Linked DNA regions of Arabidopsis thaliana. The protein of the gene in region 1 interacts with the protein of each later gene in a pairwise test. Each region holds a gene or a part of one and is shown in the gene's direction. Other genes may lie near its edges.

The links. Proteins that work in one complex are often made in the same cells at the same time.
Region 2: the proteins of AT3G27120 (region 1) and DMC1 interact in a two-hybrid assay, tested with the Arabidopsis thaliana proteins (one study listed by BioGRID).

Annotation. Positions count from the first base shown.
Region 1 is NC_003074.8:9,998,455-10,007,308, reverse strand, and holds AT3G27120 (P-loop containing nucleoside triphosphate hydrolases superfamily protein), read left to right. Parts: upstream 1-3,002; 5' UTR 3,003-3,027; coding exon 3,028-3,452; intron 3,453-3,726; coding exon 3,727-3,865; intron 3,866-3,995; coding exon 3,996-4,283; intron 4,284-4,401; coding exon 4,402-4,637; intron 4,638-5,083; coding exon 5,084-5,211; intron 5,212-5,293; coding exon 5,294-5,412; intron 5,413-5,497; coding exon 5,498-5,590; intron 5,591-5,802; coding exon 5,803-5,904; intron 5,905-6,078; coding exon 6,079-6,181; intron 6,182-6,268; coding exon 6,269-6,352; intron 6,353-6,442; coding exon 6,443-6,538; intron 6,539-6,677; coding exon 6,678-6,805; intron 6,806-6,959; coding exon 6,960-7,061; downstream 7,062-8,854. Other genes in the region: AT3G27140 (Protein phosphatase 2C family protein), read left to right, coding at 1-193, 284-418; AT3G27110 (Peptidase family M48 family protein), read right to left, coding at 7,417-7,552, 7,640-7,773, 7,876-7,985, 8,161-8,257, 8,384-8,563, 8,650-8,717, 8,799-8,854. UniProt on the Arabidopsis thaliana protein: Involved in DNA double-strand break (DBS) repair via homologous recombination (HR). Limits class II meiotic crossover (CO) formation by regulating the invasion step of meiotic HR.
Region 2 is NC_003074.8:8,095,870-8,103,955, reverse strand, and holds DMC1 (DNA repair (Rad51) family protein), read left to right. Parts: upstream 1-3,023; 5' UTR 3,024-3,215; coding exon 3,216-3,232; intron 3,233-3,401; coding exon 3,402-3,484; intron 3,485-3,899; coding exon 3,900-3,991; intron 3,992-4,084; coding exon 4,085-4,156; intron 4,157-4,245; coding exon 4,246-4,284; intron 4,285-4,396; coding exon 4,397-4,454; intron 4,455-4,537; coding exon 4,538-4,583; intron 4,584-4,660; coding exon 4,661-4,706; intron 4,707-4,865; coding exon 4,866-4,927; intron 4,928-5,028; coding exon 5,029-5,095; intron 5,096-5,178; coding exon 5,179-5,271; intron 5,272-5,357; coding exon 5,358-5,426; intron 5,427-5,510; coding exon 5,511-5,589; intron 5,590-5,697; coding exon 5,698-5,864; coding exon of another isoform or gene 5,865-5,876; exon of another isoform or gene 5,877-5,917; intron 5,918-5,963; coding exon 5,964-6,008; 3' UTR 6,009-6,278; downstream 6,279-8,086. Other genes in the region: AT3G22870 (F-box and associated interaction domains-containing protein), read right to left, coding at 6,485-7,726. UniProt on the Arabidopsis thaliana protein: May participate in meiotic recombination, specifically in homologous strand assimilation, which is required for the resolution of meiotic double-strand breaks. Mediates interhomolog recombination during meiosis.

The DNA of each region.
Region 1 (8,854 bases):
GGATAAGGTGAGTAACCAAGAAGCAGTAGACATTGCTCGTCCCTTCTGCTTACGAACCGAGAAGCCATTGTTGTTAGCAGCTTGTAAGAAGCTTGTTGATCTCTCGGCTTCACGAGGCTCGTTTGATGATATCAGTGTGATGTTGATCCCATTGCGGCCAGTTCGTATAGAAAAGAGAGGCATCTTAGAAGATGTTAGATATATGACATTAGAATTTCTATGATTTAGTCCTTTTGTTTTACTTAATTCACTCATTCCCAGGTTTTTTCGAGTCATTTTCAAGGTTTCATCCTCAAAGGCGAATTCAATAGCAAGGGACATTGCTATAAGTGTGACAAGGGATGGTCGTTTCAGATCTTATTTAGCTAGAGGAGGCCCTGGATGGTTACTTTCCAGAATTGAAGAAGACAAGCGATGATGACTTTGTGAAATTTTCTTTTCTTTACCTTTGGATTTTTTTTTTCTTTACCTTTGGTTATTGTTTGGAGTTTTCATGCTCTGTTTTTTTATGGATGTATGCTCTATACTCTGTTTTGACTTTTCAATTAATATTATACCAGACGGCAAAAAAAAAATTGAGTGAACAAAGCTAAACTCAATGTGGCTTATGTTGATCTTGTCTGGTATAAACATTGAGCTTTATGATGGTGCTAAGAATTTGATCGAGTTGGACTCCAATGTTAATGTTGAATGAGCAAACAAAAAAGTGTTAATTTTATCGAGCTATAAACACATTCGCAGCAAATCAAAGACATACTTGTCCATTAATGAATGTCCAAGAAGTCCAGTCCATATGGTTATCTAGTGACTCACATGGTAGTTTCATACTAATACATAAGTTTATACATGAACAAGAAACTATCCAAGCAGTCTAGTCCATATGGTCATCTAATAACTCACATGGTAGTTTCATACTAATACATAAGTTTATACGAGGAACAATAAACGTCAATCCAAAGTACATTATCCATTATGACCATTTATCCACATGTGTATAGACAGTTAAGTAACAATGATATGTAACCAAGTTTCTTGATGTGCATCTCAGGTCTCAAAGTATACTCTAACACTTTACAAGTAGCCATCCACAAGCGACCATTTCGTGTTGACCATATATAGTTATACTTGTACGGATCAATTACAAATTGAAGAATAGTTATGATTTATAAGGATAACCAAAACCCAAAATTATTGAAAAAAAGAGATTGAAAAAATAGTTTTTTGAGTTAATAGTCGATGGAAACTATTTTGGGTACAAAAGAGGAAACCAACATACAAAAATGGTCACCGAACCTGCAAAAGTACATTGTTCATATGGACAATACAAAATGGATACCACAACATTGGAAATAGAAGCATATAATGAATTTTTTGGTGTTCAATTAATCTATATTGGATCATACACTTGAAATGGTTCATTTGATATGAATACTTTGGCATTGACGAGACGTTAAATACTCAAAAAGCCATATAATTTGACAGCAAACTTAGAGACAAGTTCAAGTAAAGTACGAGAGGAAGGTAAAAAGAAACGTGTCCAAATATCGTTGTCCACAAAGCTCTGTTCATTTAACACTGCTAGATCTTCTCGATTGGATTTTAAGTTTTAAATACAAGTCAAAGTTTGATTTTAAATACCAAACATCTCAAGATATAACATAAACAATCACAAGTTCAAGGGACTAATCTCTTCACCGGTGCGAAAGTTTAATAAACACACAATTATCAATAGTCAATCTCGTTTCATTATCTTTAATCATGTTACGAGAATGGTGAGTCCATAACACAATCCGTTACACAACCGTCAATTACAATTTCAAATACTAATTTGTCCATAACATATCCATGATAACAAGTCCACATAAATTTGTTCACATAAACGTCGCTTTATGGAAATATAACATAGATTTCAGCTAAACAAGGAATCATTTCCTCTAAATGTTTCCTAATAACATAATCTCACAAGAGATGGAGGTTTCGATTTCAATGGAGACATTCCAGCGATTGAAGCAAACTAGTAGAAAACTTTGTCAAATTCCAACTCCTAAATATCACCAGCCATGCTTAACACCAAATTTAGCCCAGCTCGAGAAAAAAAATTGTTGAAAGTGAGACTTACGTGAGGAAGATAGATAAGCTGAAAGAAGAATCTTAATCTTTGGTACAAGGTTCGTATTCAAGTCGAGATTCTTGAGCGATCTTGGTAGCTTCTCTTCCATAGTATTCAGTGCAAGATTTATGATCGCCGAAGATTCGAATCGAGGAATATTTGCGGACGCCATATCAAATTGGATAAACCAAAGAATATAGAACCCAACATCACATAACTTTACCTTAGTAATTCAAGAACTTTTTCTCGAAATCTACTCAATTGAAGTTGAATTAGAGTAACGAAATCCAAATCCATTAAAGAGGAGATTGATATCCCCTCGCCGAAGTCACAAGGGTATAAAGTGGTTGAGATTACGAAATCGATTATTGGAGTTTTACGGTGGAGAGAAGAAGAAAGAAAGTAGTGTAAACCGTAGTGGTGGTAGACAGTAACGGAGGAGATTGATATCCCGTCGTCGGAGTCACCTTTTCTGAAACTGTAGTTTAGGTTTTTTCTGGATTTGTTTTTTTTTACAGTTCCGGAAAAAATAAAACAAGAGATTATGGTAACTGCAAAATCAAAATCGTGGGTTTCGTAACCGGAATTGGTTTAATGAAAATGGGTTTGATTTGTTTGGTTATATATAACCGACGATTTGAGGGTAAACAAGTAATTGCAATTAGTCAAAGTGCCTAATGATTTTTAAGTGCCTAATATTCTCTATGTAAAAATATAAAAAATAAAGACGAAAGTTTAGAGGAAGCATATCCGAAACACAGTAAAACCCAAAATACAGACAATAACGGGCTTACTATTGCCCATGAAGAAACTGGGCCCGATAAGCAACTGATTTCTAAGGAAACTACACGCCGTTTCTATCTACACTATTACACTGCATGACGTTCTACGCGTCAAGCTGGTGAGAGAGTAAAGGAATGTGTGGGTCGGTGGTTTCAGATTCTGAGCGCGAATTTGAATTTCATTTCTGGGGTTTTGGGCATTTGGGGAAAGAGGAAGAGAGGATAATGGCGGGAAAGCGTTCGTCGCCGTTTTCTTCTCCGTTACTGAGACCACCACCGGAGTTTCTGAATGTGAAGGAGGAAGGAGAAACGGAGACGCCGTGTTGGAGAAAGGAAGTGGATGAGAACTTGAAGCGTCTCCAATCGCTGCTCTTCGGCGCCGACAAATTCCTGGAGAAATCTGATTTCTCTTCTGCTCAGATCCTTGGGCTTCGTCTTCTAGGTTTCCTCGATTCTCGTTCTGTCACTGACGCCGATCGTGATTTCATTGGTCCCATTCGTCGTGAAGTTGCCTCTAAGATTGATTTAGCTTTGGAAGGCCTCGTTTCAGATTCGGATCGGTACCTGAGCTTTTCCCCTTTGAGCCTGTTTAATTTCGAAGAAGAGAGGGTTCGAATTTTACTTGCTTAGCTTAGTAGAGTCTTATGAGTGTGGCTTGAATTGTTGGGTATTGGAATCAGGGAAATGTATAACTGAGTGATATTCTCTAATCTTTGGACTTCGTTCACTTAGTTACTAGCTGAAATCTAAAGATCTTTTTGAATTATCGTCAATATTAGCTACACTTGAGATTTTTAGAGTACCCTTTTATGGTGTGCTTCTTGTTGTATCCAGGAAGGCGTTTGAGCTTGCAAATACAGCTCCAGGGGCAATTTTTGGCAGCAAAGGTGGATTTGATGTGGAAAAGATTAAGCAGTCTAAGTACTTTGGTTTTCATGTCAGTCAATCTAACGGAAAGGGTGTTAAAGAGATGGTAATGCTCTTGTAAACTGCTTCATTTCTTCAATGATCTTAGTATTGGTGATGAGTTTTGGAAACACAGCCATGTTATATGTCTTGCTTCCTGTTTCTACTATGATTTCATAGATGTTTTCTTGTTTCAGGAAGAACGGCATGATACGGATAAGTTGATTCCCAAAGCACCAAAGTCAATGATGCAAGCCAAACTGACATCATTGTATGGAAACAGTATTGGTAAACCAGATAATCAGCGCAAAACTTCAGTGAACAATCAAGACCGTGCCTCTGATGAATGTGTCATTGTTGAGAGAAGTCATGGATTTGGTTTTGGAACAAAGCGACCTCATGCAGAAACCAGTAGCCTTGCAAATGATGGGGAAGTAAAGGAAGATGGAGCTCCTAATGGATTTGTATCCGCCAAAATAAAACTGGTAGATTTATTCATGACAATTACTTCTCTTAGAGTCATCTTGACTTTGCAGAGTCTTTTCTTTCGAACTGTGCTTTATTACCCTTTGCTAATGTTGACTACTATATCTGTTGCTTTAGGAAATGGATGTAAGACAAAAACGAGGATCAACTGAGTCACCAAGTTCATGTCTTTCTCCACAGAGTGACAAAAATGCTTTAGGTAGGGGCTATGGTTCAAGGTCGGGTGGATTAAGACGTGGATACCGTAGTAATTTTGTCCCTCCTGTTAAAACTAATGGGAATAATGTTGGAAACTTGACGTCTCGTATTGGTGGAAAGACTGACGATGCACTGGATGACTCAACCAGAACATGGTTAGTTGCGTAATTTCTTATTTTGATTCAAGATCCTTAGCAAACTGGAAAGCACATGCACCCTTTTTATATCCTCACCTTCGACAATAAATAAGCTTATGTAATCTGTTTTTCTTGTCAATATTTCTTGATTTTCACCTAGATAGGCTATGCCTGTCTCTGCCCTTCTCTAACTAAGTTTCTATATTAAACATTTTTTGAATTTATTTCACATTGAAACACTATGAAAAGTAAATAAAAAATAGTATATGCATGTCAATAGGACTAGCAATTTAAGCGTCTACACTCATCTGGTGGTTAGCCAGTTAGGCCCTCGTTCTTATTTAGAATGCTACTTCACATAAGTTTCTAATTATCCAGTAGCCTTCTACGCCTGTAAGCCTGAAAAGATTAATTTTATATTATGAGATAACATGCATGCCCATTTACTTACTATCCTGTTCTAGTTTGGAGATGCTCTGTGGTCCTGATGGTGAGCTTCCCGAGAAGTTGAGAAATTTGGAACCTCGTCTTATAGAGCATGTCAGCAACGAGATTATGGATCGAGACCCCAATGTCCGCTGGGATGATATTGGTACAGTAAGATGTTTCAGTGCAGTGTATATTATTATCCCTGTTGCACCTGGAGTTTCTCATCATAAGTTATTGATGTGCAGCTGGTCTGGAGCATGCTAAAAAGTGTGTAACTGAGATGGTCATTTGGCCATTGTTGCGTCCTGACATTTTCAAAGGTTGTCGTTCACCTGGAAAAGGACTTCTTCTCTTTGGCCCACCAGTAGGTACCCTTGTCCATTTTGATATTTAAGATGAAATGACACTCGTGTCTGTTTTTTCTTAGATCTGTATCTACTGCATACCAGGGAACTGGTAAAACAATGATTGGAAAAGCTATAGCTGGAGAAGCGAAAGCAACCTTTTTCTATATATCAGCCAGTTCATTGACAAGCAAGTGGGTTAGTTCCACTTCTTTGCTTACTTTCACATGGATATTCGTAAAATTACGACAGTAATTATGTTCCACTATGTCAGAACTTCTACATAGCAGGGAAACCCGTACCATTTTCTGTATGTCAGTGATTTTGTTCCTGCTCAAGATGTCTATAGCATGCTTATTCATTTGCTTTACGGTCACCTGCAAATTTAACGATCACAAATGTAAATGCAGATTGGCGAAGGTGAAAAGCTAGTGAGGGCCCTTTTTGGAGTTGCGAGTTGCCGCCAGCCTGCAGTAATATTTGTCGATGAAATAGATTCTCTACTATCTCAGGTTTGTTGTAATCTCTCAAAATATTACATGTTCATAAACCCTCAAACCTATCAGCGTAGAACAAGGGCTGGAAAAAATTACAAAGGGTGGTTCAGTAAAGACAATTTTCTGGCATGTATTGGTTTCCTTATGTAACATTCTATTAAAGAAACGAACTTTCACCCTTTGCCACAGCGTAAGTCAGATGGTGAACATGAATCGAGTAGAAGACTCAAGACACAATTCCTGATTGAAATGGAAGGTTTCGACAGTGGCAGCGAGCAAATTCTCCTAATAGGTAAAAAACTGGGAACAGTAAGGTTTGAGTTTTGTGGGTTATATGGGGTTTAGTAACTTTATTCTGCTAATTTTTTTTGTTTGTTAGGAGCAACAAATAGACCGCAAGAGCTCGATGAAGCAGCAAGAAGACGACTAACCAAGAGACTCTACATTCCTCTTCCTTCATCTGGTAAAGAATGATAAACAAACTTTTTCATGTCATTCTCTGGTTTTCGTCTAATATACTCTCTTGACACGATTCTCTGTTTTCGAATTGAAGAAGCAAGAGCATGGATAATACAGAATCTCCTAAAGAAAGATGGGTTGTTTACTCTGTCGGATGATGATATGAACATCATATGCAACCTAACGGAAGGTAAATTCATCATAGGAACTTCAGAAACACAATAAATCTCTGGATTTTTGATCTTTAAAGTCCAAAGAACACAACCCAAAAATGCAAATACACATTTGCGGCCATAACCAAGCTAGCTTTTCATTAAATTTCACTGCAGGGTACTCGGGATCAGATATGAAGAACCTGGTGAAAGATGCAACTATGGGTCCATTAAGAGAAGCTCTCAAACGAGGCATAGATATAACTAACCTGACTAAAGATGACATGCGTCTAGTAACTCTTCAGGTACATAAAATCAAAATGAAGATTTTTTGTGGTATCATCATGTTTCGGGTCAAACTTAAATTGATGATATGCGAACTCTGTGAATACAAACATGTAAAGCTAAACGAATTCTTTTTGTTTCTGTCATTGTTTCATATATTTGGTCATTATGCAGGACTTTAAAGACGCATTGCAAGAAGTAAGGCCTTCTGTTTCTCAGAACGAACTTGGAATCTATGAAAATTGGAACAATCAGTTTGGTAGTTTAAGCCTCTAAGACTGAGACAGGTGAGTTATACAAACAATCTTTATCATATATTATCTTTGAGCTAAGGCCCTTTTGTTTTCCGGAATATACATTTGAATTTATCTATTACAGTTATAAGATATACAACAATGCCAGTATGCCACTAAATAAATACAAGAGTTTTACAGTACCTATTTAGACCTAGAGTCCAATCTCTCATTTCTTCTTTGCTCCTTCTGTATTGTTCCTGTCCAAGAATTCAAGACAAACCTTAAAACGACCCACAAAAGTAAAAACTCAGGTTCATATACAAATGTGTGCTTATATGAAACTTACCTATACATGTTTATTTCGCTTCCTTCCTTTTAAATCTTTAACAACGTCACTAAACCTTCTGTACTGTGCTTTTTCGATTTGCCCGTTTCAGGAGACTTTTGTACTCGAGACTCCTGGACCACTCATCAATCTCACGTGCACGAAGAACCGGCAATGGATGCGAAAGTTGACTAGTCTGAGCATTTCTGTAGAAAAGGAAAATATGTAAACAAACAAAGAAGTGAATCTGAAGGAAGAATAATCTAAATTTTGTATAGTTTTAATTTTCTCACCTTATGTACCATCCCAAGGGGCTTGAAGAAGCTTTGTCATATGAACGGGCTTGTTCTAGAAATGCGTCAACATTTAGCTGATCAGCGATTGATGGACATCCTCCGGCTAATTTCATCAGAACAGATACAACAACCTCTTGGAAGCGACATAAGAGAGATTATAAGAACAATAACATAAACATCACTAGGTATTTTCGCATTCTGTTTGATTTCTTCTTGTTTTTTAGAATTGGTACCTTTGGATCTTGGGCGACGAGTAGTGCTGCGCGATCACAAGTCAGCTCTGCTGAACGTAGCCAACGAAGTAACTGTTCTTCCAAGGTTCGAGCTATCATTTGCCCAAAAGCTACAAACAACAGAATCCAGTTTAGTAACAATAACAGAGTTTCACGCCGGCTGCAAACTGAAACTTATGTGAGTCGATAAATAGATTTCCGGGATGAAGTCACTATAATTTTGTCAGACTGACACAGAACAGTAGATACAAGTGACTTGGACATGTAGAAGAGTGTGGTATCTACCAGGAACTGTATAAGCCCCAAGAGTAAGAATATTTGCAAATGTGAGCCACACGCCGTGATCACACTTCAGATGGCCTAGTTCATGGGCTAAGACAGCCTAGTTTTGAGGTATAAAACTGTCAGATTTTGGTAAAATTAGCCAATATGTAGTATCTATGGTTAGGTTCAAAAGTGGGTTCAATCAAAAAGCATTGAACTTGTAATGCAGAAAAAAATATCTTACCTGTAGCTCCGCGCTAGTAAGAAGCTCGATCAAGCTGGTGTGGACAACAATAAACGGCTTCTTACCGCTTATTGCCAGCGTATACGCATTAGGAACAGGACTCTGTCGCACATATAGATCAGGAGCCTCTATATTCAAAATCTCAGCAGCCTCAACCAACAAACCGTGAAGATCAGAGAGCTGAGACAGCAAATAAAAGAAACATTACACATCACTATTGATAGACAAATACATAATGTCCACAAAGACACTGATCCACAACTAACCTGATTCTTGGAAACAAGAACAGAAGTCCCAATGTTCTCAAGAAGCATAATCTGCTCCGTCATTGACCCTGCAACATCCCCAAAGTCGTTAAATCACATAATCTGTTTCAAAATCTCTCTTTGTGCCAAGTAACTAGAAAGAGCCACACCTAAAAGAGCTTTGCCGAATTCGTTCAACCCCGGTATAGCCCTTAGTAACAACGTG
Region 2 (8,086 bases), 1.9 Mb from region 1:
GAAGTGAGAGGCAACTGTAGAGTAATATAATAAAATCCAAAGAAAATTTTTAAATATGAGAAAAAATTATATAAAAAGGTTCTTTTGTAATCCACTTCTTTTGATATAGGGAGATTCGTTGAGCATCCATGTGCTCTTTCAATCGACACTATTCTGTCTGTATCTAGCCAACCACATATACCTTTACACTAGAGAACTTCGATGATTCTTTTTCAAAATCAATGTGATATAATATAATTAAGCATATATGCATAAAAAATGAAGAAGAATGGTAGAGTCATGTTACTTAAGGTCATGGTGTGTAAAAACATTGATACTTTACAATATATGAGTTGTGAAGTGCTCTTAAAGTTATAACATCCGGTTCTACGTATTGACCTAGAACTAGAAGAATCGTTTTTTAGTCCAAATCAAATCAAGTCGGTTCTTTATCAGTTTTGTTGTATGTGAATTAATTTGAAAATATTAGCTATGATCTTAGCTTGGGTTTTTGTTTCTAAGGGTTAAGGATCATATCTCTTTGTCAAATGACATGTGGTCTATATGTCATGAATTAGGCACCGCTATCTTTTACTATTGATTCGACGACATTGGGACTCCTCACTACACTTATCTTAAAAAAACTCAAAGTTGGTGTTAATGGCTTGTCACCATAAACTTTCATGAGCTCTAACAAATTAAACTTGAACTTGATCAGGTCTCACAATATATACAATTTCGAGGGATAAATATTTCAAAAGGATAATATGATAGTTGGTAGAAATGTATAGTTTCTAGTAATAATAGAGATCGTTGGTTAAACTCCCCAACTTTTTAAAATTAATTTGATTAGTGGATCCGCAAACAAATATTAGATTGGGCCTATATGCATCTATATTATTTTTATTTTTCTGTAATTTCAGTAAAATGGGCCTATGGTCCTATATGCATCCGAATAATTAGTATACTGGGCTTATGGGCCTATATGCATTTGATTTTATCGATAAAATGTGAGTCAAATGTCTAATGTGCGCCGTTATGAAGTGCAAGTGGCTAATTTTTTTCAGGGAATGTTCCAATATAAGACACTTTAAACGTAAGTTTAGACAATATAGACACTTTCCAAGTTAGAGGCACTTTTCCTTCTTTTTGAAGGAAAACTTGACTTTTATACCTCTTAACTAAACAATCGAAAACAATAACTAAATATATATCTTAACCAAACAATTAAAAAAATAAAAGAATTTAGATACGTAGTTATTAATATAGACCATTAGATTGAAAAATAAAAATTAAGATCTATGGCTGAGATTAAAGACAATAAATGGATTAATTTTTTGATGTTAAAATCTGATTAGAAAAAGGTATTTCTCTTCGTCTCTAGAACTAAATCTCTCTCTCTAAAAAAACAATCGTTTCTCCCTTTCTCCTTCCTGAAGATCGTTTTTTCATAAATCCATAGTAGTTTAAAAACGAAGCAGAGAGATGTTGAAAATCGTTTCTCATGAAATTAATCGATTATTCTCTGTGAAGTTCTTTAATCCACACAACTTTCCTCATGAACATGATAATAGTAGTAAATGGAGGTTTTTCCTATGGTTACTCTAGACGAAGGAGGATCTCCTTGTGTTGGACAGGTTTGTGATTTCTTTCCATGGATTAAAAAAATTTGATTGTTTGTTTATGATGAACGATTCTTTGGCTACGGAAGAGTGTCATGGAGTTCTGGCGAATTCTTTGGCTATGTTTGGTGATTTCGTTTTTAATCAAGTTGGGAATCAATAGGAAACAACTAAGCATACAACATAGATTAGAAGAGATATCAAGATGGATCTAATTTAAGTAAGATTTGGCGACTAATTCTAGATGATTAGGGTTATTTGTGATTTATTACAAGGCATTTGTGTTCTCATTGATTTGGCGAGTAATTCTGTATGACTAGGGTTATTTGTGTTTTCTTAAAAAGAATTTGTGTTCTTGTTGAAATCTTGTTCATTGGAATTATTTGTGTTTGGTAAATCTTCATTGGTGGCTAAGGATGTGTTTGTAGCTCTTACGGCGTTTGTTATTGGTGATGTCCATTATGGATGGCAAATTATGGATGGCACATTATGGATGATGAATCATGGATGACATATTATGGATGACGCATCATGGATTGTATATTATGGATTGATATGGTGAGATTTGTAAATCTTTTGGTCTTACATGTTAAGAGTAAAAGATGAAGAATTGGAGAAGCATGTCTAACATCCTAAAAACAAGCTATATGCGGTTGATTTGCTACAAATAATTTTTTGGTATCCATAATAACAAATCCATTTAAATATATCCATTCAGAAACCTTTCTACTGATCCGTATCCATTCTATATACCATGTCAATAATAATAGGAGATTCGATTAACCGTGTTTTGTAAAGAAACCAAAGTTCCATGTCCATAAGGTTTTGAAGGTGGAGGTCTCTGCAAACTGAAAAAAAAATCAACAAACAATTTTTTGGTGTCCATAATAACGAATCCATTTAAATATATCCATTCGGAAACCTTTTTACTGATCTATATCCATTTTATATAACATGTCCATGATAACAGGAGATTCGATTAACTGAAATCTCGATGCTACGTAGATGAAACGAGTTTGACACATGAGAGAGAGCAAAAATCAAATCAAACCGCCATTGTTGAAGAAGAAGAAGTTTCTTCTCATTTTTTACAAAGATGAAGAGAGAGAGAGGTGAAGAGAGAGAGAGAGATGAAGAGAGAGAGAGAGAGAAAGAGAGAGATGAAGAGAGAGAGAGAAAGAGAGAAAACGTGGGTTAAGATAATATTTTAGTTAAGAGGGTATTTTAGTAAAAAAACATAAAAAAGTGCCTAATCTTTTGAAAGTGCCTAAACACAGAAATAGTTTTAAAAAAGTGTTTAAGAGTGTAATATTCTCTTTTTTTCACCTAGATTCCTTCTATTGACCGTCGATAGACGGATGATAACTATGACGTGGCATTATCGCAGCCATCAAACAAAGTCATGTATAACAAAGAAGAGCACACAAACGAAAACAAATTCAGTTGCGGAACCCAAATTCAAATCAACGGAATTAGAATCACGCTTTCAATTCCGTAACCCGCCATTAAAAACCTTGAACCCTCGAAGCAAATCGAGCAAAGATTTTCAAATTTCGAATTTCAAAATTCTATCTCTCTCACTCTTCCAAGCTTAGAGACTCTTAGAGCGAGAAAATGATGGCTTCTCTTAAGTAAGTGATTGATCTCTCTCTTTCTCTCTACTACGATTCTTCTTCTTCTTCTCCATTCATCGTTTTGGTTTAAGCTTTGTCTTAAGTTTTGTGTACCTGACTCGCTTCTTCTCGTTTTTATTTTGTTTTCCGATGATCCTGATCTGTTTGTGTTGTTTCGGATTCATAGAGCTGAAGAAACGAGCCAGATGCAGCTCGTTGAGCGTGAAGAAAATGATGAAGACGAAGATCTATTTGAGATGATTGACAAATGTAAGATTTGAATTCGTTTTCAACTTTTACGATTCTTCACTTTTTCGTTTCAAATCTTCATCATCTGTTTTGGAATCGTCTCTGTGTGTTTATCTCTTCTAATTTCGCCCACTTTTGTTTATCTAAACCTCGTTGTTGCTTAATCGCTGGGTCTTATGAAATCAGATCTAGAATCGTTCATCTAATTTGAGGAATGTTCTCGCAATCTCTGTTAGATTTCGAATTTAAGTATGAATCTAGGATCGATATTGATTTCTGAACATGGTTCTCCTTGGTAACGAATAGTTTATGGTCCATTTCGTTTACTGTTTGTGGAATTCGAGTGTATATTAGTGTACATAGTTGTTTGATTTCTGTATCTGGCTAAAATCTCTAGCTGATTTGATCTCGGGACTTTTATTTTTGCTTGTGTCAGTGATCGCACAAGGTATAAACGCAGGAGATGTGAAAAAGCTACAAGAAGCTGGGATCCATACCTGCAATGGTCTCATGATGCATACCAAGAAGGTATTAACCAGCTTATTTAGCTTTGCTCATTGGGTTTATACTATGTAGATGTTGGTTGCATGAGTCGATTGTTTAAACTTATGTTTGATGCAGAACCTTACTGGAATCAAAGGTTTATCTGAGGCCAAAGTTGACAAAATCTGTGAAGCTGCTGAGAAAATTGTGGTAAGTTTAACGTTTCCATCTGTTGTTGCTATATCAGTGTTACTTTCTGCATTTGCGTCATTTTAATTGTCAAACCATTTCTCCTTCAGAACTTTGGATATATGACTGGAAGTGATGCTCTTATAAAGGTTAGACTCATTGTTGCTTGATCCCACTAACAGAACTATTAGATTTTGATATCCTATTCAACATTTCATATTAGATATTGAAACTTACAAGTTGTTTTTTAATTGTTTACAGAGGAAATCAGTTGTAAAAATCACTACAGGGTGTCAAGCTCTCGATGATCTCTTAGGAGGTATGCTAAGTTTTGCTTTAGATTTTTGCCATCTTGATCACACTACTTAAGTTCTGGTTTAATTATTTCACATTTCTTGCTAGGTGGAATTGAAACCTCAGCCATCACAGAGGCTTTTGGGGAATTTAGGTGAGAAACAGCTGAGCCAAGCTCTATAAGTTTCCTGTTAATAGCTTGTATTCTTATAGAGTTTAATTTCACTTCAGGTCTGGGAAAACCCAATTAGCACATACCCTTTGTGTCACTACGCAGGTTGGTTTCTTTCCTACAGTCTCAATATGAAATATATGTTGTCTTGTTTACATTTCAGAGGCATGAGATGAGATTTTACTTTCTTTCAGCATATAAACCATTGAGGTACTCTGTCTCTCAATGTCATTGGTATTCATTTTCTGTATTGATGTATTACAGCTACCTACAAACATGAAAGGAGGGAATGGAAAAGTGGCATACATTGACACAGAGGGAACCTTGTATCCTTAATATCTTATAACAAATCTTCTGACCAGATCTTGTGTCTTCATTAGATTGTTTCTATATTCCATGATTTTTCCTTAACCCCTAAATTTTGTAGCCGTCCTGATAGGATTGTCCCAATTGCTGAAAGATTTGGAATGGATCCAGGAGCTGTGCTTGACAATGTAAGCATTATTAACCTCACATCTTTACTTACTCTCAGGACTGTGACTGACATTCAAAAATCTTATTCATCTTGATATAACAGATCATTTATGCTCGTGCTTATACCTATGAGCATCAGTACAACTTGCTTCTTGGCCTTGCTGCAAAAATGTCTGAGGAACCATTTAGGATTCTGGTAAGTAAAACATGTCTGATAATTTTAGTTTAGTTATCCATTCAAATATGAGTTAAATTAGCTGAGTTTTCTGACCTTGTTTCCAGATTGTTGACTCGATCATTGCTTTATTCCGAGTGGATTTCACTGGAAGAGGAGAACTCGCAGACCGCCAGGTTAAACTTGCCTCCCACAACATTACTTACATTATCATTGGCACAATCTGGCTTTGCTCAATAGTCCCAGTTTCTGTGTTGCAGCAAAAACTAGCTCAGATGCTTTCCAGGCTAATCAAAATTGCAGAGGAGTTCAACGTTGCTGTCTACATGACTAACCAAGGTTTACTTTACACTAGTTTGATATAATGAGATAAAGCATCAATTCTTTTTTTGTTTCTTGGTTGCACTAACTTAGCAAGTATCATCTGTTTCATTTGGTGGTTTGCAGTCATAGCTGACCCAGGTGGTGGAATGTTCATATCAGACCCAAAAAAGCCAGCAGGTGGTCATGTACTAGCTCACGCAGCCACCATCAGGCTCTTGTTCAGGAAAGGCAAAGGCGATACACGTGTCTGCAAAGTCTACGATGCTCCGAATCTCGCTGAAGCTGAAGCCATATCCTTTTAACCAAATCCACACACACACACTTGCTTTGTTTTTGATTATTTCATATAATGCAATGACTTCATTTTTTTCCTTAACTGAAGAAATCACAGTTTCCAGATTACTCAAGGAGGCATTGCTGACGCGAAGGATTAGAGGAGCGAACTCTTTTATATGTCATAATCACGAATTATGTCTGTTCTTAACTTGCTGCTTGTTTCTGCATCGAATCAGACGTTTTAATTAAGTCTTTTTATTCTTAGTTTCTTGTTTACCAAATAAGACGATCATTACTTGATTCGGCTTACAAAACCAATCTATGTATCTGATAAAGCTGCAAACAAAACAACTCTGGTTCGTTTGTAAAAAGACAATAATGGCTTTATAACAAGTAACAAGTAAAAGTTCATTATGATCATTGATTAATCAGTTGCACTGAATAATGTGTTATTCCTCTCCAACTTATTCATCTCTATTTTAGTGGATGAAAAAACTCTTTAAATTTCTCTTTTTTATTCATCTAAGTAACGTAAAATAGAAATGAAAGGGATGAATAATTTTAATCATCTCGTTTTCTCACTTTGCCAGTTTTTTCCTGCACATCAATCGATTTCATAATTGCTGCAAAACTCTCATATTGTTTTGTCTCCTCTTTTGGGTTCCATGGCAATATGATACTTTTCAAGTTCGACAAGTCTCATCATGTTTCGCTTATATCGACGGTTTTCTGAACTGCTTTGTCTTCTCCTTTTGCATCCTGGAGGTTGCTTGATTTTCACTAAACTTGGAACATAAGGACACACATATAGCCAACTATCTTGGTGGGCAGGTTCTCCGAGATCAACATCTCGGACTTGTCCAGCCTCTCCAATGATGAAAACTTTGTCGCGTTTCAACGGTTGCCCGAAAATCACGGCGACTTTGTTCACCTCGTCAATGAAGAAACTCCCTGTACAAGAATAAATCATCGGGCAGTCACGCACACCAAAGGTCAAAAACTTGCTCCACGACACCTTATCGAATTCAATCGTAGTCGTAATCCATACCTCAACAACAACATCGCGACAAAATAAAGCAGCAAGCTTCTCTTCCCTAACACAAGATAGAGTCACAAGACTCTCCTTCATAGCTCTAAACGGCAAAGGCACAAGCGGACCAAACCTCTCACTTGTAAAATCAAAACAGATGATGTGATCAACAATGATAAAAGGGTCTGCGTTCCACTCTGGCTTCCTTTCTTTAGCGCACCAGTAAGTGTTTCCCTTGAGAGAAACGCCAATATCATCAAAAAACCTTATACGCCAGTATGGAGTGACATCAAGAGTTTTCCATAAACCAGAGTCGAAATCATAGATTTCATAGAAAACAAAATCATTGGAGGTATAGAAATAATCAAAAAACCTCAAGAGTTTAAATGATTTCATCATATTATTATTCTTGTAGTATCCGAGAGCGTAACTGAACTGGTCCCATCCGCCTGGGATGTGTGAAAATCTAACTTGGATAAACCTTCTTTGCCCCAAATACGGATTCCAAACAACAACCTTAGTATTATCGTCTTTCAAGATGCATAACAATAAACCCTCGCAATGAAACAACATAGATACCTTTACTTGTTCGTCAAAGCAAGTAAGTTTGCCTTTAATCTCTGTAGATGGATCTCCTCCATTAAAGGATTTGCTCATTAAACAAAGATTGTAATCCATCAACGCGACCATCTGAGACTCCTCTTCGTCGATCTTTAAGCTCCGACTTTTGATTAAAGTTTCCCACTCTTTGCAGGTTAATCGCAATGCTCTCACATATCTCAACGGAATTCTTGAGAATATTTTCTTCTTCAGATCCCTTGGAAGATCGGAGATCGTCAACGTCATTGTTTCAAACCCTTTTCTCTTCCTCTGAAAAATCTCTCGGTCCTTGCTGTGAAAGTAACCAAGTCCTTAAAATTTTAGGGTTTATGTGACAATTAAGACTCGGTTACTTTTTTATTCAATTAATTCTGGTTCGGTCAATTCGGTTTATAGCGGTTTTGTTTACTAGAAAAACTATCACCGCCTTTGTTTTTATTTTTACTTTTTAGTTTCACTTTCGACATTTTTCTTAGTGGTAAATTTCGTTTTTACCTTGGAACTATAAAATCAATCGGTTCTTAGGTTTTATAGTAAGGGAATGTCCCGTAATAAGGCACTTTGGGAAAAAGTTTAGACAAAACAGGCACTTTCCAAGGTTGAGAC